Cricetulus griseus: one gene and its partners. The protein of the gene in region 1 purifies or fractionates together with the protein of each later gene. This does not show direct contact. Links are inferred from orthologs where the notes say so. Each region holds a gene or a part of one and is shown in the gene's direction. Other genes may lie near its edges. The genes, in order: Mink1, Strn, Strn4, Nck2, Cnot9, Strip1 and Strn3.

Region 1 (3,500 bases):
CTCCACAATCCCCTAAGTGTTACCCTTCTCTGCCACTCGTGTCCTGATTGACAGCTTCTTCCCCTCTAGCATCACAGTCCTTGTTGAAGTGATGACACCTTGTTCTTCTCCCTCCTCCCAGGACCCTGCAGGAATCTTTGAGCTGGTGGAGGTGGTTGGCAATGGAACCTATGGACAGGTATACAAGGTGAGACATGGGACAGAAATACAACCTTCAGACCAGTGGGGCCCTCTTTAGAGCAACCGAGGAAGTGGATCCCAGGACTGGCAATCTGAGGGAAGCTATAGGAGATGACAGAGGCTGGGAGCCCCTCAAATTGGGAAAAAAAGCACAGACTACAGAGAGCAGCAACAGAAAGAAGGGAGACATCATCTCTGAGTGTAGACATGTTCCTGGGTATGGCAGGAACCTGGCTGCAGCTGATGGTTGTGGGATAGGAAGCAGGAAGAGCACATGGGGATGTGGGTGTCAGGGCTTACCTGGAAATTCACAATTCATGCCAGAAGTGTGGGTTGACACCTCCCAAGCCCACAAGGAGGCTTGGGGTTGATGGGCCCTCACTGGTGGCCTGCAGAGAGGAAGCAGCTTTCTTGACCTCCTGCAGCTGCTTGCCCCAGGGAGCACGCCAGAGCCCCAGCCTCCTGCTTTTGAACTGCTTTTCCTCCCACAGAAGTGGCATTTCCTCTACCCCTGATTAGCTTTACAGCTTGGCCAGCTTAGCCCTCTCAAGTAGCCAGAGCTCTGCCCGTACATGAAGTCTCCACAATGAAAGGGATATTTAGGGTGGGTGCTGTCCACAGAACATTTAGTCTGCTTCCTTATCTCAGGGCACGGCTCCTGACATTTCTTTCCACCGGTGTCTTGCCTCTCTGAGTCTCCTGGTCACTGAGACCACCAGCCTTTCTTTCATCTACCCCTTTCCTTTTGTAAGCATGGGCTTTGGGGGAACAGGCAGTGCACAGCTCCTGCTGAGTCGTGTCCATATAGATAGCTGTGCCTTTCTGTACTTGGGATCGTGGGTGGCTGCTGAAGAAAACAGGACTTGGGGTGGCAATTCCCATGTCCTTCCCATGAGTGGCTGCTGTCCCATCCTGCTCTGCTCAGGAAGCTTGGGACTTTCTTGTCCAAGCCATTGATAGTTCTTAACAAAGGATTTCAGAAGGGTGGATGGGGTGGGGTTGGAATTGAGGTAGAGAAGCTGTGACACAAACACTCTGAAAGGTTTCCCACCATTAAGACTGGTGACTAGAGGTGTAGCACACACCAGTTGGTCCCTTTGCTTACTTGTGTTTCCTACACTCAGCTGTGAGTCTGTTCTTTCCCTGATAACATAAAACACCTTGGGCATGAGATTGATCCAGGGAAAGGCCTTCTATCGAGAGTGGCTTGGCCAGGAAAGCACCAGACATTTTATCTTACATAGATGAAGGAGAGGGTTAGCCCCTTTCCAGCCTGCATTAGGATATGGGAGTTTCTAACTTGCTGGAACAGAGCAGTGGCATCCATCCTGCACCTCAGGTGTTGTATAGAAGAGCTGTCTTCTTTGTTGAACGTTATCTTTACAGCCTAGAAATAAATGTCTAGGCTGTTCTGTGTTAGCTGTGATGGCTCAGGGCCTCCCCTCTGCCTTCTGCTCTGTAAAAGCAAGGCTTCTGCCCACATGAAGGGCATGTTCTAAGGTAGAAAAGCACTAAGAGACAGGGCTCTCCCCAAAATTAGTTCCTCTTTGTTATTTTACTAAGTGAGCATATACCTGACCTCTCCACATTCTCTATACTCGACTTTCTTGCAGGGTCGGCATGTCAAGACTGGGCAGCTGGCTGCCATTAAGGTCATGGATGTCACAGAGGTAGGAAATGAGGTGGGGAAGGGTGGGGTTGGCATCGAAAAGGGACTGTAGGATCTCAGGCCTTACCCCCCCTCCCCCTTTTGCCTTAGGACGAGGAGGAAGAGATCAAACAGGAAATCAACATGTTAAAAAAGTACTCTCACCATCGAAATATTGCCACCTACTATGGGGCCTTTATCAAGAAAAGCCCCCCTGGGAACGATGACCAGCTCTGGGTAAGAAATGCCCCTCCTGCCCCTCCCAGACGTCTCTGCTCCAGACCGCTCATGTGGAACTCAAGGCCAATATCTGTTCTAACATCCCTGCCTTAATTATGGATCCAAAGGAGCCTCATGACTCACTCAGAACTCTACTTTTCAGTCTGTATGCCCAGGGTCTTGTTCCCTTGTGTGTTTAGTGTCAGGAATCCTAGTGTTTGGCCCCTCCACCTGGCACTTTACCCTGACAGGTCAGCAAGCACTGCTTGACGAGTGAGCAATAGAGTCTTGGTCATAGCCAGAAGATGTGGTTGGAGATGAGGGGTGGCTTAGTTCTTAAGTTCTTTGTGCCTTTGAAAACAATTTTGGGAGAGCCATAGAATCAAAGTAGCTATAGGAAACAATAGGACTCAGGCCCATCCTGGCAGTATACAGCCCTTCTGGGTGATGATTTGAACCAGAGCCTACACAAATAAATACCTCCTGGCCCAGATCATTCCTAAGAGTCATTTGCTCCCTAGCTTGGACACTGGTGCCACCAATTTCCTGGCCTCAGCCTTTGTGGTACTGGGCCCATAAGCTGAGGGGAGAGTGGCAAAGGACATCATTGTGGCTATTGGGAGTTTTGGAGAACATGCTAGAAGTCGGCTGGACTCTAGCTGTTTAATAAGCATCTTCTATCTACCCTTCAAATTTGAGCATGAGTCATAGTTCCAGTCTCAATGGCTTCAAGGATTTGGGGGGACACATGCAGCTCACGTAGTTGTGTATAGTGGGAGACCACTGGGAACTGGTAGCTAGGCAATAGTGGCCAAACACTCTCATATTAATGTATGGGGTACTGGACTGCTTCTCCACCCACCGTGCTGTCCCGGTGATGGGGCACATGAAAATTAACTTTGATTGCATAGCAAACATACCAGTCCCAACCTAAATTAGATGCCAATTTTAGTGAAAAACGGTTGGAAAAAATTGCTCCCTCTAGCAGCACACTAAGTGGAGCCCCATGAACTTCCCTAGCAGACTCAGCCCTTCTTGCCTCTGAATCGAGAATGTTGAGCATTTTTGTGAAAAGTCCAAATAGTAAATGCTTTAGGCTTTCTTGGTCATGTTTGCTCTTATCATTACTCAGTTCTGCTGACACTCTGTGAAAGCAATAGATAGTACATAGACAAATGAGCATGACTAGCTGAGCATAGTGGCTCACACAGAGGCTGAGGGCAGGAGTTTCATAAGTGTGAGACTGCCCGGGGTTACATAAAAAGACCCTCACTCAAACAGAACCAAACATAACTGTGCCTTAATTCTCAGGTTTATATTTAGGTCACAAAAATTTGGTATTATTCTCATGTGTCATGAAATAGAACTCTGGGTATTTGTGGGATTGTTTTGGTTTTCTCCCCCTAATTATTAAATGTGGTGAAAACATGCTGAGGAGATAGCTCAGTTGGAA
Region 2 (3,500 bases), about 79 Mb from region 1:
TTAACATTAAAGCAAAACTATTTAATCCCTTTATTCAAATATGCTAAAAAACTTTAAACTTAAAATATATATTGACACATGAATTTCTATGGCTTTTAGAACCATTCTCAAGCTAGTTAAACTAAAATGTTGAAGATAATTTGTATATCGTACATTAGAAATTATTTCCAGACTAAAAACCAATGTCGATGTATTTTTTGGGCATATTATGTTATAAAATTAGTATGTTGGGATGTAAAGATTTTTTAATTAGAAAGGTAGCCAAGACTTCTGTGGAACTCATCTCCTCTTACATTGTGATTAGAGTTTAGCCTTTCAGATCTAAACCTGCACCATTTGACTGGAATAGTATTCCTACTAGCAGAAGCAATTGAGTTCCCTGCTCCTGGGGATTGATAACTATATTTAAATATATAGCACATGGGCTTTTTAAATGAAGAAGTGTTAACTCTCTGGGGAGAAATGTGAATGATTTGCACTGACGATAAGGAGTGTAGACTAAGGCCAGCACATTTTATTTATTCTTTTCACTTGTTATTTGGTTAAAACAGTAATATGAGGACAAGTGAAGACCTGTGATAAAGAGGAAAATGAAGTAAAGCTTTGAATTGGTATAAGAAACATTAATTTATAAGCCACCAAAATATACTTTTTAATTGAGCTGTTACCCACTGTAAACTTCTTGTTGTTTTTAATTGGTCTACTGTAAGTATATCCAGTCAAATTGTGTACTCCAGTCACATTATCTTTAATTTTCTAGGAATTAGTTAAAATAGCTTAGAAATAGTTGTATTCTTTGCTATGGTATGTATAGGAAATACCATAACGGACTATGGGTAAGATTTTCCCATTCTTAATTAAACTTGTAACAGGAAAAACTACCGAAGATCTGTTTCAGCCTCTATCCTATATAAAACAGTCAAAACAGGGATGTGGGAGAATGAAGAATCAAAGCCCAGGTAAGTGACAATAGGGCATGAGACTTCACTTTGGGTTCCATAGCTGCAGGATGTAAGGCAATGAATGTAACTTAATTTAAACAAGCAGAGACGTTATTTTTCAATTGAGTTTACATTTGGTTCATGATCTGTGATTGTCTTCATTTAGACCAATAGTCATTGGGTTCATTGTAGATGAATATGACTTTTAATGATACATATTGGACATGGCATTCTTTTTCATGTAGTGATTCCATTAACTTAATTTATAAAACATGTATTTAAATATCATTTTTTTCCAGAAATGATAAACTCTTAAACTTTGAAAACCTCGAAAATAACTACTTCTTATTGATCACTCTAGTAGGACATTTTAAAGGTGAATGTTGGCAGATGTGAAAAAGTTTATTGTACAGTTTTTATGAAATGAGTGATTCTGTTTTCTCTTTTGTTTTTTCTCCTCTGCGCCCCCCCCCCCTTTTTTTTTTTTTGGCTAGGGCCCAACAGGTCAAAACTACAAGACATGCTTGCTAATTTGAGAGATGTAGATGAACTTCCTTCATTGCAGCCGTCTGTTGGCTCCCCTTCCAGACCCAGCAGCTCTAGGCTCCCTGAGCAAGAGATCAGGAGGGCAGATGAAGGTGAGCACCTGGACCTGTGGCTGGTACAGGCACCTTAGAGAGCACCCAGCCCGCACACACTGCTTTCTTAAGTCAGTGGGGATGACTCCAGCTTCGGGTGAGAGGCATAAATTTTAGAACTGCTCTTAGTTTCTGCTTTGGAATATGCCCTAGCTCCATTGACAAGAGTGGTAACAGGCTTATTCAGTTCAGCCTTGAGAAAATTGAGTCTAAAATTGGTACTAAATGTTCACTGTGAAAGTCAGCATACTTAATTTATCATTGATTTTAAAAATGAAGGAACACCAGATATGGTGATACATGCTTTAATCCTAGCACTCAGAGGCAGAGGAAACCAGTTCTCTGAGAGTTTGAAGCCAACCTGTCTCCAGAGCAAGTTCCAGAGCAGTCAAAGGTGGCATAGTGAGATCCTATCTCAAAGCAACAGCAAAATGGAGGGAAAGTTACCTGGTTTCTTGCTTCCCATGTTTCCATTGCCTTTCAAAAGTCCTTATCCACTTGCATATTTTTTTAAACATAATTACAGCCATTATGTAGAATAGCTCTGTTTTGTTTTATGTTTAACATAAAATCATATGTTGATAATTTTTCAAGCTCAGCTTTAATGCTACATATTACACTTGGTGATAGAGCATGTTCCTATCACACAGAGCTCAGTTTTAACTCCTGCACTAGGGTAGAGGAGTGAGTGAAGGAGACAGATGGTGTCCCCTTGATGTCATATTAGAATTCCAGTTAGTTTTTTAAAAGCTCTTTAAGGGCATCAGTATTTAGTTACCCAAAGCACTGTAACCTGTTTCTTAACTTCTGAGGCTAAAGAGAACAAGATGCCTACCTTCTTAGAGACATGATGTGCCTGTTGCTTTCTCTGACTACTGACTAGACCTTCTTAGACTATTAGTTAGTACTAACCCATGCTGTGGCCAGTCTCAGGAGACTTACTGTTTCAGGACAAGCGAATTTATAGAAGTGGGCTGGGCAATGGTGGTGTACAGCTTTAAACCCAGAACTCAGGAGGTAGAGGCAGGTGGATCTCAGTAAGATCAAGGCCAGCCTGGTCTACAGAGTGTAGAGGCAGGTGGATCTCAGTAAGTTCAAGGCCAGCCTGGTCTACAGAGTGTAGAGGCAGGTGGATCTCAGTAAGTTCAAGGCCAGCCTGGTCTACAGAGTGAGTTCCAGGACAGCCAGGACTGTTACCTAGAGAAACTCTGTCTCAAAAAACAAATGAGAGAGAGAGAGAGAGAGAGAGAGAGAGAGAGAGATTAGAAATGAAAAACAGAATAAACTAAAGACAACTGCTGAATACCTAGTCTCCCAGGCACACATGAAGTATTTGATATTTTGGCCTGAAAATTACTGTTTGGACAGTTTCCACTATGCAAACACTAGGGTTCTTTGAACCCTTCAAATGACATGCAGCATTTAGATGAGGCTCATTTTTATTAATGCTACTCTTGTGTGTATGTGGTTTGATAGTGGTTTAATTTATATTCTATTTTATTCTACAGTAACTGTCTTTTTCCTGATGAAGATTTTGAGTTTCTGTTACTACTACTAGGTTTTTGTCACCATTTATCCCTGACTAGCCTGAGCTGGTTAAATAGACCAGGCTGGCCTTGAGGTTCCTCTGCCTGTGCCTCCAGAGTGCTGGGACTAAAGGTGTGCACCACCACACCCAGACACCACTACTGTTTTAAGGCCAGCTATTAAAAGCAAGCAACTATTATTTAATGTCTTCAACAAGTACCTATTATTAAACATGATTAACTGTAGCACTGAAAAACAACTTTTAAGTCTGTTGTGTACTGGATATAATTAACTCACTTCTTTGTTTAAAAATAACATCTCTTTAGCAAATCTTTTGAATTGTTAAATTCATCTTAAATATTTGTAGTCAGTGAAGCAGCCTCTGGAAAAGGCA
Region 3 (3,500 bases), on another chromosome or scaffold:
GTGGGAGCTGAGCCCAGGCTCCTACTCTTGTCCCTGAGTGCCAGAAGTAGCTTCCTACGCCTCCCAGCAACAGACGCTCTGAAGGAAGAGTGGGCTGCCGCCTCCACCAGCAACCATAGGGACACAGCTGTTAATGCTTAACGCCCCCGCCCATCCCTGACCTAACTCCTCAGAAGGCCATAGCCAAGTCAGGCCATGCTGTCCCTGTTTGAACTCCATGGGTTAAAAATGGCTCCTCAGCTTCTCTTTCTTTTCTTTTTCCTTTTCTTCTTTGTAAGGTAGAGTCTTAATCTTAGCTCATACTAGACTTGAAGGTGTAGCAGTCCCTTTGCCTCAGCCTCCCAAGTGCTGAGATTATAGATTGAGCTCTTTTATGGGTAGTAGACCCGGAGACCCTGGAGGTGGGCCCAGCCTGTCCTCTCTTCTTATTGAACACTGGCATCGCTGTGGGGGAGGCCCTGAAGCTGTTCCTGAACTGGGGAGGGAGACACAGCATCAGTGACCCTCAGCCATGCTATCTAACTTTCTCTTCTGTCCCAGGCTCAGGTGGCTTTCCTCCAAGGTGAGAGGAAAGGCCAAGAGAATCTAAAGACGGACCTGGTGCGGCGGATCAAGATGCTAGAATATGCACTAAAGCAGGAGAGGTGAGAGCTGCCCCTGCCAGAGAGGTCACTGTTTCAGATAGGGTGGCAGGCTGCCAGCAGAGGAAGTTTCTCCACCTTCCTCTTCCCGTCATCCCCAGGAGCGGGGTGAAACAGATTGTGGTGGGTGGATTCAGCTGCCAGCAGCAGCTTTAGGGACTTTGGCAAACCTGTGTGCACCAATTCTGGACAGCTGCTACCTTGCTTATTCTTGCCACAGTCTGATGGTGTTGCTGGCTGAGGTTCTGGGAAGGAACTGAGGCTCTTAGAGCTGGTACTGTGGGGCAGGGAGTGAATGAAAGAGGCCTGGGACTTGGGCTTTCTGAGGTGGTCTTTGCCTTGTCTGCTTTTTTGTCTTGTTTTTCGAGACAGGGCCTTTCTGTATAGCTCTGACTGTCCTGAAACTTGCTTTGTAGACCAGGCTGGCTTTGAACTCGTGGAGATTTGTCTACCTCTGCCTCCCAAGTGTTGGGACTAAAGGCGAGCGCCCCCACCACCCAGCATCGCCCTGTCTACTCATCTCTACTCATTTGTTATTTGCTGTTTTAGGGCCAAATACCATAAGCTGAAGTTCGGGACAGACCTGAACCAGGGGGAGAAGAAGACAGATGTGTCCGAACAAGGTACCTGCACTTGCACCCTCCCTTGGCCACGCTGGCATGGCAGCTGCTTGGCATAGAGAGAGACGTTGCAGATGGCCTCCTGTGCTTTCTTACTTGGCTCCTTGAAAAGCAGCAGTGGCTGTAGGGTGGAGTGGGGTAGAGCTGCATGCTGGTGTGTCTTCCCATCAGTCCTGTTTCAGACTGCCCAGCCCCACCTGCCTGCCATCCTGCTGTCCTCAGGGCGTGATGGACGCCCCAGCAGCTCCTGCTTCCTCCTGCTAGGGGAGTGAGTGGAACTATTTATGGCATGCTTTGGAAAGCGTAGGAAAGACGTCACTGAAGAGGTGGTGTTTGCACTGGACTGTCATTCAGTCATTTACCCTCAAAAGTTGATACATGATGTGTTTGTTGGCTTCCTGTCACAGGACAGGGGCACGGTGAAGAGCAGGATAGATGTAGTCCTGTTCTGTGGGCACTGGAGGAGGGGCCAGATGCCCATGGGAGGGAGGGGATGGGTGTTTTCAGGTGAGCACTAGTATCCAGGCAGTGCGGGTAGACGGTGTGTTTGGCTGTGCCGCTGATGCTGGGAGCTTGGTCTAGGGCTTTGTGAAGCCCTTGGCCTCGGGGTCAAGGGAGGGAGGTCATCTTCTCCTGCCAAGATGTGAGTTCTTGATTGGTGTGGCCCAGGCGTCTATCCCAGCCTTATAGATGCCCAGTGGATACCCGATGAGCAATGCACAGAGCAGGTTTCCCAGCCAGCGTCTCCTCACCCTGAGAGGTGAAAGCTGTTTCATGGGAAGCAGGCTTTCGTAGGTGCTCAGAGCTGCTCTAGGAAGTGCAGAGCCGACTCGACCCCAGCCTGCCCACTTTGTAGAGCCAGTCTGCCCACTCCCTGCATAGGAAGGAGCAGCCAGCCATGCGTGTGGAGGCACGGCTCTGTTATTGGGGGCGGTTGGCAGCGGCCAGTCAGAAGCCTAGCAGTGAGGAGAGCATCCAAGAGAGGAGTCACTTGGTGTGGGAGAGTGGGTGGAATGCACTCAGGAGGTGGGGACAAGGGCGGTGATGGTGGCAGATTCAGACTTGATGGGAGAGGATGGAGGGGTGACAGGAAAGTATCCATGCCCCGACTGAGACGGCCTCCTCTCTTCTCTCTAGTGTCTAATGGCCCTGTGGAGTCGGTCACACTGGAGAACAGCCCGTTGGTGTGGAAGGAGGGGCGACAGCTTCTGCGACAGTGAGTGAGGGGGAGGGGTGGGACAGGATGGGGCATGAAACACACAGCATACTTGGCTCAGAAGATAAGCCCAAGGAATCCACAGTCCTTCCTGTCCCCACTGGGACATGAACTATCAGGATCCCACACTGCCGTCACCCGACGGGAATTAGAGGGAAGACTTGCAGCAGGGGCCACCTTCCCACACCCCAAACTCAACCCTGCATAGTTCTCTGACATTTCCTCTTAAAAGAATAATGTTAGGGGAAGTTATTTTTTAAAGAGTAAAGTTAAATTATAGCAATAGTAGTACCTGGGTGCTGTGGGTTCAACCCAGGTTCTCAGAGGACCTGGTGAGCCCTGTTGACTTGCCCTCTGAGAGGTGAGCTGTCCTATGTCTTAAGAGAAGAGAGGCCCAAACAGAATTGGTGGACCACCAGCCTCCAGCCAAATCAGGATTTTTGTTAAAGATTTTAGCATTTTAGGATACCTGAGAAGTAAATAGTACCACTTCTGAGCAAATATGACCCTGTACACATTGGCATCTCCACCATCCACCCCAACACTTGGAGAGGTGCCCCGAGTTGAGAGTGGTGTGCTCTGTACTGTGTTAAGAGCCGGGACTCTGCTTTTACTGTTCTTAGGTTTTGTAATGCTTTGACTAAGTATTATCAAATCCTCTGTATAGATTAGCTAGGTTATATAATGTTCAGAATCTCATGGGTGGAATGTGGCTTAAGGGTTGAGCCCTTACTTACTGTGGGCCAGGCCCTGGAGTCCATCCCCCCAGCACCATAAAAATCACCACCACCGCGGGGCGGTGGGCGGTGGGCGGTGGAGGCGCACGCCTTTAATCCCAGCACTCGGGAGACAGAGGCAGGCGGATCTCTGTGAGTTCGAGGCCAGCCTGGTCTACAAGAGCTAGTTCCAGGGCAGCCTCCAAAGCCACAGAGAAACCCTGTCTCGAAAAACCAAATTAAAAAAAAAAAAAAAAAAAAAAAAATCACCACCATGTAATAGGCACCCTTCTGGAAAGCCAGAGAT
Region 4 (3,930 bases), on another chromosome or scaffold:
GAATACCAGACAAAAGCCATCTTGTCTCCATAAACACTAGCACACACATACATACAGAAAACATCCATCTCACAATGAAAACACCACACCCTTTTTGGGAATACTGTTGTCTGATGCTTGGAAGACAACTACTCACAGACAGAGACGGGCTGGCCAGAAAAGTAAGAATGGGAACGAAAGACCTTACAACAAGATGCTGGACTTCAGACAACAGCAAAAGTGTCACCTGTCTGCAGGAAAACTAGATGGGCTAGGGTTTGAGAAGGAGCTATTGAATTTAGATACAAGATGCCACTGGGGACCTGGGGACTTGCTGTAAAGAGACTCTCTCTCTCTCTCTCTCTCTCTCTCTCTCTCTCTCTCTCTATATATATATATATATATATATATATATATGCATTTGATTGGGGGCTTACTTATAATTTCAGAGACATAGTCCATTATCATTAAGGCAGGGAGCATGTCAGCAAGCAGGCAGGCATGCAGTGGAGAGACACACTGGGCCTGGCCTAGCTTTTGAAACCTCAAAGCCCACCCCCAGTGACACACCGCCACCCACAAGGACACACCTCCTAATCCAAATAGTTCACCAATTGGGGATTAACCATATGAGCCTATGGGAGCCATTCTTCTTCAAACCTCCCTAGGGATTTAATAGTAAGAGAAGCAGTCTGAGGCCACTATTCAAAGAAAAGGCTAAAAAAGCTGGGTCTGTATTGTCCTACCTTATTTAGAGTGAATGGATTTTAAATACGGTTAAACTATTGATTACCGTTCTGCTTTCCTTATTGTAAAGCTAGATATTAGCAGGATGAGGTCTGCACAAAAGAATGAAAGGAGATAGCATCTCCGACTGGAAGGGGATGTCGGATATGCTGATTTTGTACCTAATGCTTTTTGGTCGGGCTATGTGCCAGATACTTTACATGGGAAGCAGGCAAACATCTCACGTGATAAAGTTGAGAAAGGTTGTGAAAGACACGTGTAAGGTGACACAGTTCAGGAAGCCTACAATCGTGCTATGATTACAAAGCCAAGCTTCCTCAGGTTACCCATGGCTGGAAACTTCCTTTAGGGAGGGAGGCAGCTGACTGGCCACTTAGGGTGAATTGTTTCTGCCTTGATAAGGAGGAGCCAAGGGCCAGGGTAGAATCTCATTAACATAAATGCGAGCTACCCAACCAGAAACTGAATTCATTTGAATATTAAGGCTTCCTTTGGAGAACCATGAGAGAAGGAGCTTGGAGAAGAAACATCTGGATTCCGGTGTGTAAGGCGTATGTGTTCCTTCCTCTTGTTCTAGGGTTCTAGCTTTCTAAATTTGCTTACAGGTTAGCCACTACTCAAGGCTGGTTGAGCGAGGGCGCCTTCCCAGCCTTCTCCTGTGCTAAATGAGAAATCCCAGGCTCCATAGAGCTGGCCTGGGCGCCCGGGAGGCAGCGGAGGTCGGGTTTCCTCTCCTCCCCCTAGGAAGTGGTCCCGCCTGAGAGGATGGAGTAAAAAAAGTGTCTGGTTGGGAAAGTAAATAGATGCAAGGCAAATAAATAAAGAAAATGCCCACAAGCAATTACTGGGAGGAAGTGACATTTTTATGTAAGTCACTTTTCTGACGGACACCAGGCCAGCTTGGCCGAGAGTGCCGTGGGAATGCTTTCGGGGAGGGGGGGTGATGGGGTGGTCGCTGTAAGAATCCAAGGCACAGCGGGGGTGCGGAGACCACCCGGTGGGACTAGCGGGCTGGAAGTAGCACTGCATTCTTTCCTCGTTCCCCTGCCCGCCCCCCAACTCCGATCGAGAGCGGGTTGCTGCCTAAAGCCCGCAGGCGGCGCTTTTCCCGGGCCCGGCCGGGACTCCCAGGTGGGTCCCCCGCCCGGCGCGCGCCGAGCTGGGCCGGCCCCTGGGCGGCGTCACGACAGCCGGGGAGGAGCGCGGGCGGGCGGGGAGCGCGCGGAGGCGGGCGCTGCGCGGGAGGGTCGCCGCCGCGGATCGCAGGCCGGGGCGCGCGGCCGAGCGGGCGGCGGCGGCGGCGGCGGGGAGGGCTCGGCAACGGGCAGGGCTCGGGGCTCCCGGCCGGCGGGGTCCGCCCGGGCCGGCAGCGTCCGCCCGGCGGCGGGAGGAGGGAGCGGCGTAGACAAAGAGCGGCATTTGGGCGGGCGCAGCGCGGCCGCCGCCCCGGGACCCGCGCCTCTGCCCTCCGGCCTCGGCGTGCGGTGTATAGAGAGGTAAGGCGACGGGCGGGGGGCTGCAAACTTGGTTGGGTCGGTAGAGTTGGGAGAGAGGGGCCGGCGGGCAGGGGCCGCCCGGGAAGGAGCAGGGAGCGCGTCCCCCCTGCGCGCCCCGCTGGTGCCCTCGGCCCCGCCGCGGCCTGGGCGTCCCCGGGTACCCGCACCTCGGAAACACACCTTTCTGCGAGCCCTCGCCTTCCCCAGCCTTGGGCTGGCGTGGGGGTGGGGCGCCCTCCTCGGGCTGACACCGGGGACCAGGACCGAGAGCCCCCGGGAGCACAAGCAGCCCTGGCCTGCGGGCGGGCGGGCGTGGGACCGAGCCGTGGCCCGGTCGCCGGGCGCGCGTGCCTGGGAAGAATAGCCTGGGATCTAAGGGCCCCGGCGCTAGGAAGCTAGGGGCTGCGATGGCCGGGGAGAACTTACTGTATTTAGAACTATAAGTGATCCGGCACAAAGCTACTGTCACGTCTCATACAAGAGGTCCGTGCCTCGGTGCAGGGCGCTTTTATGCCAGGTTCCAGTCCGTGTGCCCTGCCCCTCATTCCCAAGGCTTAAACCTCCAGAGCCAAAGTTTCTCTCAGCCGCCTTGCCCCTTCGGTTTGTTCAGGGCGATTTAAGCAAGTGGTTTTTGCAAGAATTTGATGTGGGACTTTTAATGCCCCGACGGCACCTCCCTTTTGAGCACTGTTAGCTTGGCATTGTGTGGAGGGGTTTGATTTGCAAAACGCTGTAATTTATACACTGTAACGATTCTCCCGGAAGGTGTGCGCGGGACTCTGGGTGGTGGTTAATGGATAGCAGACGTGACTTACAGTAGTATTGTGAATAGCTTGGGGACACAGCTGGGCGCTAAATAGCGTGGGCCCTGCCACCCTAGCCTGTTCAGGTCGGCAGTTTGTCCCTTATTTACTTTTCCTTATTTTGCTAAGAGGTTTAAAGGCTAATCCTGCCAAGTTTGAGTCTGTGTCTGGGATGAACAGGTCCCAGTTTGGGTTGGAGGTGCCCAGGCCTGCTCCTTGGTTGACCCCAAATGAAACAGCCCATTGGCCAGTGGGCATGGCCTGGAGACTCCTTTGCTGCTCCTCACCCATTGCAGGCTTTTCTGCAGGGGTTTTGAGGAGGAATGAAAATAATTTTGCATGTGTTTCAAGCCTGGGTTTTGGGTATAGTTATCAACAGTGGTTTTCTAGTGTAAAGGTCACCACTTTATCAAAACATCGTGGGCACTCCCCTCCATTCACTTTCCAAGTGTTTATAGATACAGAGATTTAGAAACAGACATTCGTGTTTAATATAGCGAAGGCAGCCAGTGGACACAAGGAGAAAGTGCACTTCAGTTAGTTAAGGTTTTAGACCTTGGGGATTGTTCCTAAATGACCACAAGGGACAGTCCTACCTTAAACTTTCTCACATTCTAGTCGGTTAATGTAGTTTTGATGGAAGAAAGAAAGGTCCCAGTGGTCTGAGGCTAAAATTGAGAACTTTGTGCGGCCGTAAAACTTGGAGTTACAGCCCCACCACCTGCCTTGCTCTCAGCCTCTTAGATGTGCAGCGACTCCTGGGTGGGGAGTTGCTGAATGAGCCCTGGCTGCTTGAGAGTTGATCAGCCCACCTGTGGAGAGACTGGCCCCTTTAAAATGGGCAGAGCAGATACAAGGTGGTTTCCAGCTCCCCGTAGTCCGATTCCAGGCTCTCAGTTTTGCAT
Region 5 (4,171 bases), on another chromosome or scaffold:
TGGAATATAGAGAGAAATGGAAGGGCAACAGAAGAGAACCCCAGCCCAAAGCCAAGTCATTTTACCTTGACAAATTTCCCACCAAGACAACTGATTACATCTGTCACTAGGTTTTTAAGTCCCTTGTTTACCTTTTGCCAGTATGCAACGCTATTCTTTCCTCTCTTTACCCGTTATTACACGTTATTAATCATCTCAATGCTGCCGAAGCACCCTTCCTTTCTAGCACTTGTACTCTTCTTTAGGCAATGTCATGCATAGGCATGTCCCAAATTTAACATGGCAAGTGACTCACATAACATACAAACACACATGTATTTATTTGTATGTCTGGCCCAGAACCTTCCTCTTACCTTTAACCCAATAAACCCAAATTGCTCCTTAATATTCTCTTTCAGCTGGACTCATAAGGGACTGTAGCTCGCCAAAATACACCCGAAAACCATTACAGCACAACTCTCCAAAGACAGGGAACTTGATTTAAAATTGGTAAATTGGACATCGCCGGTGTTGGCTAGATACTGGAGGCAACCAAATAAATGCACGACAAGCATTCCACTCCCTGACTTTCAATGAACAGTTTTTAAGAGGAGGAGGGAAGTAACGAAGGGCCCAGAGGGCGAATGAGTATCACACATCCAAGGTCTGGTGTGTGGCCACGGGAAGTCACCTGTAAAGACAGCAGGCCTTGTTAGGAGGCAAGCCGAGACCACCGCAGCCCTGCTCAACAGGAGCCGGGCTTAGAACGCGGAAAGCGAGTGGCAATACGGACCGTGTTGAAGGAGAGGGAAAGTGGAGGGGAGACACTCCAATGGGCGCACCTGTAAGGGACCCGGGGAGCGTCCAGGGACCCGGGGCGGGCTGAGCAGCAGCCGGGCGAACTCCGGAGTGGGCGGACCGCCGGCTGTGGGGGGGGGGGGGTGAGGCTGGGGAAAACGGCTCAATTCACAGGCTGTCCCGGCCCGCCTTACCTGTGCCGGAGGGTCCCAGCCTAGGACGGGCCAGCCAGAAGCACAGGGTTTCCGCAGAGGGGGAGGAGCCGAGGGGCTCGGAAGGAAGGGGGCTCCCCTGGACCCAGAAAGGGAGGCCGTGCTCTCCTCTACACTCCTAAACCCGCTGATGGCGGGAACTGTGACTATACGCAAACACGTACGCACGCACGCACTCCCGACGCAGCCAGTCCGGGCGCGTGCGCGTCAGCGCTCAAGCCCCGCCCCCGAGCCCTCGGCCCGCCCCTCCCCGAGCCCTGCCCCTCACCCGGGCGGCCCGGCCCCTGCCGTGACGGAACCGTAGGACACATGCGCACTCTCCATTTTACCGACTTCGGACCTCCCACCATTTTCCCTTCGCTCGGCTCAGCCCGGTGGAGCATGCGCAGTTCGCGTCCTTCCATACCGCCGGCCTTTTCCCGCCCTTCTCTGGCCTTAGGAGGGAAGTCAGGGTCCGCGCTCCTCTGGGGATATACCTGCGATGCCGGGGGGTTACTAGGACCCGTAGGTTGCAGACGTCGTTCTGATCCTGACTCTCGAGTGTCAAAGGGCGTACATACTCTGGGACTATTAGCTAGGCCGAGGGCCAGGAGGCGGGAAGGGGCTGTGTGGGTGGAGGGTCAGAGGTGAGAGGTCAGAGGGCTGCCAAGGGGGAGGAGCGAGCCGGAGGCGGATGGCGGCTCTTCATCTCCGGCTGCACAGCCGCTGAAGCTGGGACGCGGGTCCGGCGCGTCGGGCGGGAGGAGGAGAGCGGCGGCCGCTCCCAACATGCACAGCCTGGCGACGGCGGCGGTGAGTGGCTGCGCCCGGATGCCCGTCTCAGCCCGCTTCCTAGTTCCCGGAGCCGGGCCCCGAGTCCAGCTGCTTCTGCCCCTGGCCGCGAGGTCCGGGAGTCTCCACACGGCGCCCTGGCCGTGGCGGAGTCCGACCCTCCCAGCTATCCCTGCCGCCGCGTCCGTCTCTTCTCCTGGCCCCTTGCGCGCGGCCTCTCGCGTTCTTTTCCGGCGCCGCGGCCTGGTCCCCGCGCGGCCTCGGCAGGCCATTCATTGATTCACGTGAGCCCGGCGTCAGTTTCTGGGGGCCACGGTCGAGTGCCGGGCCTCGGCGGGGATAAGAATATCATTCCATGGCCATTCGCTCTGGGCCCCGGCTCCGGGAACACGTCGCCTAGGCACAATCTCAGTGGGAAGGACACGGCTTCTAGCTCAAAAGCCGGAGCCCCGGAGTTCAGGATGATTCCTTCTGGCTTACGGTCCTCTGCGTTTAAAGCCTTCCTCGCACATCTCGTTTTATCTTTTAACAAGAAAAGCTAGTCGCCGTATTACACCTCCCTGAAGTCATCCTGTGGCTTTTGGTTACTTTTAGAGAAAGTAGATGCTTTGGCCTACAAGCCCCGTATGATGTGGTCCTTAGTCACGTTTTAATGGGCTCCGTTTTTGTCACTTGCTCCTTAAGCTCCGACCAAAAGTGCATGCACTTTTCCACTGAATGACACAGTCTCTAGTTTCTTTGCCTGGAATTGTCCTTCTTAGGACTGCCTCCATACATACAAGTCTGTCCCCAGAGTGACTTTCTGACCATGTTCACAGTAGCTTCTAACCCCAACATTTACTCTTGTATTGATTTTCCAGTGTGTAATTACTGGATTATTTAACTTGTGGGATGTCTGTCTCCCTCTCGGGGTCAGGGACAGGATTGTGTGTGTGTGTGTGAATTCTGTTTACTTGGTTTTCCCACTGCTAGAACAGTTCCTACAAGGTAAGCACTATGCACTCTGACAACCGTATGGAAAGAGGGATAATTTAAGAACACTTACAAGCCTGGTAATGGCGCATGCTTTAAATCCCAGCACTTGGAAGGCAGAGGCAGGTGAATCTCTGTGTTTGAGGCCAGCTTGTTTCACAGAACAAATAGAGGGCTGCCAAGGCAAAACGGAAAAAAAAAAGTTCTCAGTATGTATTTCTTCAATTATATTTGCAGTGCTGTACATAGATTAAAAAACTTGAACATTTGTTATGCTGTTTGACCCACGTGGCGGCTCTGACAAGTTCTTTTGTACCACTCATCTGGTAGGATATTTAGTGAGGATACTGAAGAATAAAAATTTGAGGCAGCGGGCGTTGGTGCCGCATGCCTTTAATCCCAGCACTCGGGAGGCAGAGGCAGGAGGATCTCTGTGAGTTCGAGGCCAGCCTGGTCTACAGATCAAGTTTCAAGATAACCTCCAAAGCAATACGGAGAAACTCTGTCTCGAGGGGAAAAAAAATTGAGGCAGTTCCTTCATAATCCCGTATTCCCATAAGCATCCAAACTCCTTATGTTATTTTGATCTGAGCAAGAAAAACAAAATTATGATGTACTAGGATCACATGCAGCAATACCCACAAAAACCTAAATCTTTTGAGAAGGCGCTTGGTTTTTGTTTAATAATGAAAACTAGTGTGTATGTGTTCATATTGTGGGTGTGCATGTGTGGAGGTCAGAGTCAGTTTGGGGGTTGTTCCTCTTTACTATATATAGCTAGGGAGATAGGAAGTACTATTAAAGGGCAATGAATGCAGGTGTTATTTACTAGAGAAACAGTAGCAAAAGACACTGAGGTAGTGTGCTCTTGTCATTATGGAATATATTCTAATATCTGTTATCAAAAAAAGTGTTTTGTTTTTTTTCCTATCGTGGGCAGAAAACAATGAAGGGCTATTTACAAAATTAGTAAGTGTAAGGGCATAAACGGACATGGCTAAGCAGGTGAGAGGTCAAATCCCAGCACTCACATAAAAAGTCAGCTGTGACTCCCATGTGTGCAACCCCAGACAGCTCTGGGGTTAGAGAATCAATAATCACTAGGGGTTGCTAACTACTAGCCTCGCCTGGAAGGAATATGGCCAGGAATGATTGAGGAGCTCTCTGTGCACACATATATATACCACACACATGCTCATACCATGTAAAAAAGTAGAATGCTACTGATGTTTAAAAAAAAAAAAAAAAGATGAGATGCTTGCCTCCAAGCCTGGTGACCTGAGTTTGTTGACAGAACCCACTGGTGGGAAAAGAGAAATAACTCCCACAGGTCATTCTCTTAACTTTCACACATGCACCATGGCACATACACGTACTCAGTAAGTAAATGAGGAAAAGAAAACCCCCAAAACTAAATAGTTGGTCTTTGGCTAGGTTCT
Region 6 (3,500 bases), on another chromosome or scaffold:
ACTGTCACTGAGTGAACTTCTAAGTAAATCAGGAACTAGATGGGCAGCATCATGGGGAAGATGGAAGTTGTGTCTGGCTGGATCATTTGGGAGATGGGTAGATGGGATTCCTAAGGCTGACCTCTGAAGTGTTTGTGGGATTTGGTCCTTTACCAGAGGGTTCTGGAATCCATCCCCACTATGGATGCCTAGGCAGAAGGTGCTGTGTGTGTGCTGGCGACTCATCAGGCACTTGTGTTTCTAGCACCACAGTGTTGCAGAGCATGAAGCTGGGGGTGGATGTGAACCGCCACAAGGAGGTCATCGTTAAGGCCATTTCTGCTGTGCTGCTGCTGCTGCTCAAGCACTTTAAGTTGAACCACATCTACCAGGTACCTGTAGGGTCTGTCTGCCTTCGTGTGCACTGCGCCTGTGCCTCAGTCCATACTGCTCCCTAACCCGAGAATAGGGCTTGGCTTTGAGCCCACTTAAGCTCTCTGCATGAGCATTCTAATATGAGATTATCCAGCCAAGGCTTTTTGTCTCTAGAGAAAAGAGAATAAGAGGCATGCTTATTTTTCTTCTGTTGGTTTCAGTTTGAATACATGGCTCAGCACCTGGTCTTTGCCAACTGCATTCCTTTGATCCTGAAGTTCTTCAATCAAAATATCATGTCCTACATCACTGCCAAGAACAGGTGATAAGGACCAGGGCCAAGAAAGGGTAGAATAGGCAAATGGCAGGATTTCTATCTGGCCTCTCCATTGAGACTCCTCAGCAGACATTTTTCTGAGCATCTATGAGTCAACACTTTGCCAGGCATCAGGAGACAAAATGAATGACAGTGTGTCTGTTTTGAGGTTAGCTAGTCTAGTGACTTTGTTTTTGACCAGGAGGCTCTCATCCTAAGCTCCAGAATTGCCTTCACTACTACTTCTATCCTTCTTCCCTTTCCCCTCACAGTTCTCTGTAAGGAGCTTGGCCTTCCTTAACACCCACCTTGTGCCCGCTGGACCTGATAGCACCTGCTTATCAGTGTGAGACATCACAAGGGAAGTGTCTGGGTAGCTGTGGCTTCTAAGAGAGCTTGGCATACATCAATTGTCTTGAGCCCTACCTCCTAGATTCATGTTATGGGGAAAGCTGCAGGTTACTAATTAGATTATAAACTGAACCTGTCATAGGGAAACTTTCCACATGTATTGTAGCAGATAGTTCCTCATCTTATAGTCAGGGTTAGAGCAAGTAAGGTAGATTGCTACTTCTGCTTCAGTTTAAATCATGGCTACTGACAGACCCAGCCTTTACTCACGGTGCACACTGTGTCTTCTTGCATTCTTCAGCATTTCTGTCCTGGATTACCCTCACTGCGTGGTAAATGAGCTTCCAGAGTTAACTGCAGAGAGTCTGGTGAGTGGCTGGGATTGCCCTGGCTATTCCTTTGTTATGAGGGTTGCCTCCTGCAAAGCAAAGATAGAGGAATCTTTCAGATGAGGTCACCTTTGGCTTTTAAAATGCCAGAAATGGCCATAAAGTTGGGGAGGGATTTTATAGGGCAGAACACCTGGGATAGGTTAGGGCTAGTCAGGGAGCATGTTCTGCAGGGGCTGCTGACCTAGAACTTGCCTACTCAAGCTGCTTGCATCTTCCCACTGAAGTCTGGGGCTATGGTTCCTGGTTTTATGGCCCATGCTTCCTTCAGGAAAAGTCTATTGAGTCCCTGCTTCTCTTTCAACTTGTGGGATGGAGTTTCCCTTTGGCTGTGAGACAGAGAACTTGATGCTAGAAGCATTGACACATGGCCACTGTGGTATATTTGTCAAGGCCATTGGACACTGCTGAGCAGCCTGTGGCTGCTTTTCCTTTTCCTTTTCCCTGCAGGAAGCTGGTGACAACAACCAGTTTTGCTGGAGGAACCTCTTTTCTTGCATTAATCTTCTTCGGATCTTGAACAAACTAACAAAATGGAAACACTCAAGGACCATGGTGAGTCACTGCTGCAGCAAGTCTGGAACTGGGAACTCACAGAGGAGTGCCACGTGCTATGCCTCCCCTCACCTGGGGCAGGGAGTCCTCAGGGTGGAGCTTTTGTTTTTTGTTTGTTTGTTTTAAGATTTTATTTATTATATATACAACATTCTACTTCCATGTATATCTGTACACCAGAAGGGGGCACCAGATCTCATAACAGATGGTTGTGAGCCACCATGTGGTTGCTGGGAATTGAACTCAGGACCTCTGGAAGAGCAGTTGGTGCTCTTAACCTCTGAGCCATCTCTCCAGCCCCTGATTGTTTGTTTTTTGAGACAGGGTTTCTCTGTGTAGCTTTGGAGCCTATCCTGGCACTTGCTCTGGAGACCAGGCTGGCCTTGAACTCACAGAGATCCACCTGCCTCTGCCTCCCAAGTGCTGGGATTAAAGGCATGTGCCACCAACGCCTGACGAGGATGGAGCTTTTGAGGCAGCATTGTCCTTACTCAGTTCTGCAGACATCTGGTTCTTGGTAGAAGCAGAAGCTGGTAGAGACTCTCAGTCATGCACTGAAACAAATCCACCCTTACAGATACATCTTCCGTAGCCTCTTGATCCTGATTGGGAAATGATAGTCAGGGGTCCGAGAGCCGCCTTATCCCTGATCCTGACCTTTGGACAGGGCAGGTCCATGAATTCTCAGAAAGGAGATTACAGAGTGACCCATAATTAGGGTGACCAACCCTTGTGGTTTGCCGTAGCTGTGCTAGTTTTAGTGCTTAAAGTTTTCTCTGTGTACCAGAAAACCAGTGAGTTTAGGAGAAACTGCATGGCTTGTCGCCCTGTTCCCTACCTGGCAAGTGTTAAGTGACCATGTAGTGGCACACACACTTACTCCTTTCCTTGCAATGGCTGTCACTGTGTCCACACAGATGCTGGTGGTGTTCAAGTCGGCACCCATCCTGAAGCGGGCCCTGAAGGTGAAGCAAGCCATGATGCAGCTCTATGTGCTAAAGCTGCTCAAAGTGCAGACCAAATACTTGGGGCGACAGTGGCGCAAGAGCAACATGAAGACAATGTCTGCCATCTACCAGAAGGTGCGACATCGGCTGAACGACGACTGGGCATACGGCAATGGTAAGGCCATTTGGGAAGCAAGATTGGAAGAGGGTGGGACAAGGCACACTTTTGACTCCTTGCCTCTGGTACCTTAGCTGTTTCTACCCTGAGGCACAGACGGGGCCTGGCTAGCTGGGCGGTGGTGGTGCACACCTTTAATCCCAGTATTTTGGAGGTAGAGACAGGCGATCTCTGTGAGTTTGACACCATCCTGGTCTACAAGAGCTAGTTCCAGGACAGGCTCTAAAAGTACAAAGGAAAACCCTGTCTTGAAAAACAAAAAACAAAAACAAAAAAAAAAGGAACCTGGCTCTAGTTTTTGTGGCACCAAGAAGGGAGCACCAGGCAAAAGTGGAAAACTGCTCAGTGTCTGTGGTCATCTGTTTCTCCATCTCTCTACTCTAAATCATGTCTTTTCTAGAAATTGCCAT
Region 7 (3,500 bases), on another chromosome or scaffold:
ATCTCATCTTGTGATGCTGGAAACTCAACCCAGGACCTCTGCAAGAGCAGCAGGTGCTTTTAACCACTGAGATGTCTCTAGATTATAGTGAAAGGTTTGAGGAAACCTTTTGATGCTTGTCTATTGATGTATTAAAGATAACTGTGGCAAATTCTATTTATTGTCTTTTTATCTAGTGGTTTTTTATTTTTATAGTTGGAAATTTTGCTGTTTGTATCCTGCTGATAGCCCTGGAGTATAGGTGGATCCTTTATATTGTTATGACTCATAACTACTGTACTTCTGTCTAAGCAGAACTGGAGGTCCTGGAACTCATTCTGTACATCACGCTTGCCTCGAACTCAGAGGTCCGCCTGCTTCTGCCTCCTGATTCCTGGGACTAAAGACATGTACCACCACTACCCAAATGTATTCTTTTCTTTACTCCAGTTTTTGTGTTATTTGCCATTTGATTGTACCAGGCCTTTTCCTTTGGACCACCAACCAGCTCCCAAATCATGATACAGAGACTTATGAGTTTTGAATGTTTGGACTAGCTAAGGCTCGTTTCTGGTTAGGCTTTTTAACTTAAATTTACCTGTTTTTCTTCATCTGCCTTTTGCCTCTTTATCTTCTCTACTTGTGGCTGCTTTGTGTCCTTAGCTGTACCTTAAACATGATGCATCCTCTTTTTTTAGTATCATTTGATCACTTGCTGCCCACTGGTCAATTTCACCAGAGTATGAATAAAACCAAAGCCTTAGTTCAGTCTTGCCTTCTGATCTCCAATTCTAATTAACTCATGGAAAAAAGCAATAGAATCAAGTGGATGATATTAACCACTAGCTTACGTCATACAGAGAACCTCGATCTATACCCCATTCACTATTCCTACTGCCCTCAGTGGGGGTTCCAAACTCATACCATATCTCAGCATAATCACTCATACTTTCAGTAGTGATCCTCTGCTTCCACTTAGAACATGAGATTAGAATTCTTTCAAATTTTTACTTTGCTTTCTATAATAGGTTTAAGCATCTTATTTGTTACCCATTTCCAGATTCTTCTACATCACTAAAACCTGAACTACAGAGTTTTGAGGGGAAAGGGCACTAGAATAATTAGCAGAGTTTGAACTAAAGTCTTAATAATACGGGTCAAGTCAGGTAGCTTTGAGGAACTTGCAGAGAAAATCCCAGGACACAGTCTTAATCTCTGTCTGGTTGGTTGTCTACTTCTGTTAATTAGTTTTATTGTTTTCTTCTGAAGAAAAACTACTTGTTTTCCCCATGTGACAGCTTCCCCTTCCTCCATTTTTTATCCAGGTTGTGTAAGACCTTGGTAGTTACTTTAGACCAAAGTTTAGAGACTAGGGTAGGGTAGGGAAAGGAATTGTTTCCATCACATGTAGATTGCAATGTCATATTGGATTCTAACTTAATTACTTGGCTTAGATAAGTGTTCTTTGAAAACCACAGAACCAGAGGAATGCTTTGGAATCTGAGATCCAAAAGGGGATTAGTCCTTGACAAATCACTGGCCTAGAACTTAGCATGGTGCTGTTCTGAGGCTCAGGTCTACTTATTCTCTCATATACCTTGGATATTAAAAAAGAAAAACCAAAAACGTACGTGTGTGTGTGTGTGTGTGTGTGTGTGTGTGTGTGTGTGTGTGTGTGTGTGTGTGTAAATTCACATACCTATTTAAAAGATATGTATGTGTCTGGATGGAGGTATGCCTTTATACGTGTGTGTGTGTGTGTGTGTGTGTGTGTGTGTGTGTGTGTGTGTATTTCAAAAGCTTTTTTAAAGCTCTGAGTCTTTTTTAGATATTGAGATAAAGGGCTCTTAATCAGAGGTACCCACACTATCTTCTCTTCTCCCCTCCCCTCCCCTCCCCTCCCCTTTTCTTGCTTTGTCAAGACAGGGTTTCTAGCTCTGGCTATCTTGGAATTTCTCTGTATACCAGACTGGCCTCAACTCAAGATCCATCTGTCTCTGCATCCTGAGTTCTTTGATTAAAGGTGTGTGCCACAACACCCCACCTTACTTCAATTTTTTTAAAGACTATTTTTTTGTGTGTGTGTGTGTACTAGTGTTGTCTGGATATATGCATATGTACCACATGTGTTCCGGGTGCCCACGTAAGTCAGAACAGGATGTTGATACCCTGAAACTGGCGTTATGGGTGGTTGTGAGCCACTGTGTGAGCATTATCTCCAGCCCCTGTATTTCAATTTTGACTTACAGTTGACATCATTCTCTTAGAACTGGAACTAGTCTATAGTGGAGCTATTGAGACAAAGAAAAAGTATTTTGTGTGATTATGGAGTTTTCTTAAAAAAATAATAATATGATTTTATGGTGGCAGGTGTTAACAGTGTGTTGTTTTTAAAATTATATTTATTTTATGTGCATTGGTATTTTGCCTGCATATATGTCTGTGTGAGGGTGTCAGATCTTGGAGTTACAAATAGTAAGCTGCCAGGTGGGTGCTGGGAATTGAACCCAGGTCTTCTGGAAGAGCATTCAGTGCTCTTTTTTTTTTTTTTTTTAAAGATTTTTGTTTATTTATTTATTTATTTATTATGTATACAACATTCTGCTTCCATGTATATCTGCACACCAGAAGAGGGCACCAGATCTCATAACGGATGGTTGTGAGCCACCACGAGGTTGCTGGAAATTGAACTCAGGACCTCTGGATGAGCAGTCAGTGCTCTTAACCTCTGAGCCATCTCTCCAGCTCCCGTATTCAGTGTTCTTAATCCTGAGCCATTTCTAACCCCCAGTATGTTGAATTTTAATGTTTAATTTTCTTTTGATAGGTATCTTCAGGAAGTAGGATACACAGATACAATACTAGATGTACGATCTCAACGGGTAAGGTCATTACTTGGACTGTCTAATTCAGAACCAAATGGATCCATAGAAGCAAAGAATTTAGAACAGATCCTGAATGGTGGTGAATCTCCTAAACAAAAAGGACAAGAAATCAAAAGGTATGATTTGTAGGTTAACATTGTTTAACTTTACATACATTAAAGGTGGTTGTATGGCAGAGACTTTTCATTGTGAATGTCAATTTTAGCTAGATTTTTCTGCAGTTGTTCTTATTGTTAGACATGAAATGACTGAAGACACCTTTTTGTATACATAGGAACTCAAAGTAATTTCAGTAAAGATTATTGCTATTGTCTGTTACATGATTAGTTTTGAAATACTTGAAATATTTTAACAGATTAAAGATACTTTTTTTTTCTACATAAGAAATCTATAAAATGTCTGTCTCTTGGGTCCTGGAACCCTGACTATGGGAGCATTCTTCAGGCCATAAGTTTCTGGGGAAGGGAGTAGAAAGCTACTGTGTACATTTCTACACACACTGTCAACATTCACAGTTGAATCAGAGGAAGACTTGCATCCCTCTGAGCCTCATCCTGGAAAGGGTTTGCCACCCTATGGGGCTATTGCTCATGTCCTTATTATTCTCTAGGTAGATCTGGCTGGCCTATAACTTAG

What was found.
Region 2: the proteins of Mink1 (region 1) and Strn purify together in Homo sapiens (affinity purification with mass spectrometry; 3 studies listed by BioGRID and IntAct, with this or other methods). This does not show direct contact. The link is inferred for Cricetulus griseus from reciprocal best matches to the Homo sapiens genes MINK1 and STRN.
Region 3: the proteins of Mink1 (region 1) and Strn4 purify together in Homo sapiens (affinity purification with mass spectrometry; 3 studies listed by BioGRID and IntAct, with this or other methods). This does not show direct contact. The link is inferred for Cricetulus griseus from reciprocal best matches to the Homo sapiens genes MINK1 and STRN4.
Region 4: the proteins of Mink1 (region 1) and Nck2 purify together in Homo sapiens (affinity purification with mass spectrometry; 3 studies listed by BioGRID and IntAct, counting the BioPlex papers as one, with this or other methods). This does not show direct contact. The link is inferred for Cricetulus griseus from reciprocal best matches to the Homo sapiens genes MINK1 and NCK2.
Region 5: the proteins of Mink1 (region 1) and Cnot9 purify together in Homo sapiens (affinity purification with mass spectrometry; 3 studies listed by BioGRID and IntAct, with this or other methods). This does not show direct contact. The link is inferred for Cricetulus griseus from reciprocal best matches to the Homo sapiens genes MINK1 and CNOT9.
Region 6: the proteins of Mink1 (region 1) and Strip1 purify together in Homo sapiens (affinity purification with mass spectrometry; 3 studies listed by BioGRID and IntAct, with this or other methods). This does not show direct contact. The link is inferred for Cricetulus griseus from reciprocal best matches to the Homo sapiens genes MINK1 and STRIP1.
Region 7: the proteins of Mink1 (region 1) and Strn3 purify together in Homo sapiens (affinity purification with mass spectrometry; 3 studies listed by BioGRID and IntAct, with this or other methods). This does not show direct contact. The link is inferred for Cricetulus griseus from reciprocal best matches to the Homo sapiens genes MINK1 and STRN3.

What each region holds. Positions count from the first base shown.
Region 1 is NC_048600.1:84,406,482-84,409,981, forward strand, and holds part of Mink1 (misshapen-like kinase 1), read left to right. Parts: intron 1-121; coding exon 122-187; intron 188-1,793; coding exon 1,794-1,850; intron 1,851-1,939; coding exon 1,940-2,065; intron 2,066-3,500. UniProt on the Homo sapiens protein: Serine/threonine kinase which acts as a negative regulator of Ras-related Rap2-mediated signal transduction to control neuronal structure and AMPA receptor trafficking.
Region 2 is NC_048600.1:5,360,587-5,364,086, forward strand, and holds part of Strn (striatin), read left to right. Parts: intron 1-872; coding exon 873-959; intron 960-1,435; coding exon 1,436-1,579; intron 1,580-3,500. UniProt on the Homo sapiens protein: Calmodulin-binding scaffolding protein which is the center of the striatin-interacting phosphatase and kinase (STRIPAK) complexes.
Region 3 is NC_048602.1:11,451,216-11,454,715, forward strand, and holds part of Strn4 (striatin-4), read left to right. Parts: intron 1-537; coding exon 538-644; intron 645-1,190; coding exon 1,191-1,264; intron 1,265-2,398; coding exon 2,399-2,477; intron 2,478-3,500. UniProt on the Homo sapiens protein: Calmodulin-binding scaffolding protein which is the center of the striatin-interacting phosphatase and kinase (STRIPAK) complexes.
Region 4 is NW_023276807.1:5,069,783-5,073,712, reverse strand, and holds the start of Nck2 (cytoplasmic protein NCK2), read left to right. Parts: upstream 1-1,130; 5' UTR 1,131-1,266; exon of another isoform or gene 1,267-1,277; intron 1,278-2,035; exon of another isoform or gene 2,036-2,222; intron 2,223-3,930. UniProt on the Homo sapiens protein: Adapter protein which associates with tyrosine-phosphorylated growth factor receptors or their cellular substrates. Maintains low levels of EIF2S1 phosphorylation by promoting its dephosphorylation by PP1.
Region 5 is NC_048595.1:427,755,696-427,759,866, forward strand, and holds the start of Cnot9 (CCR4-NOT transcription complex subunit 9), read left to right. Parts: upstream 1-1,371; 5' UTR 1,372-1,757; coding exon 1,758-1,781; intron 1,782-4,171. UniProt on the Homo sapiens protein: Component of the CCR4-NOT complex which is one of the major cellular mRNA deadenylases and is linked to various cellular processes including bulk mRNA degradation, miRNA-mediated repression, translational repression during translational initiation and general transcription regulation.
Region 6 is NW_023276806.1:49,542,704-49,546,203, forward strand, and holds part of Strip1 (striatin-interacting protein 1), read left to right. Parts: intron 1-244; coding exon 245-371; intron 372-575; coding exon 576-676; intron 677-1,322; coding exon 1,323-1,389; intron 1,390-1,860; coding exon 1,861-1,965; intron 1,966-2,882; coding exon 2,883-3,087; intron 3,088-3,500. UniProt on the Homo sapiens protein: Plays a role in the regulation of cell morphology and cytoskeletal organization. Required in the cortical actin filament dynamics and cell shape. Part of the striatin-interacting phosphatase and kinase (STRIPAK) complexes.
Region 7 is NC_048598.1:150,631,855-150,635,354, forward strand, and holds part of Strn3 (striatin-3), read left to right. Parts: intron 1-2,806; coding exon 2,807-2,980; intron 2,981-3,500. UniProt on the Homo sapiens protein: Calmodulin-binding scaffolding protein which is the center of the striatin-interacting phosphatase and kinase (STRIPAK) complexes.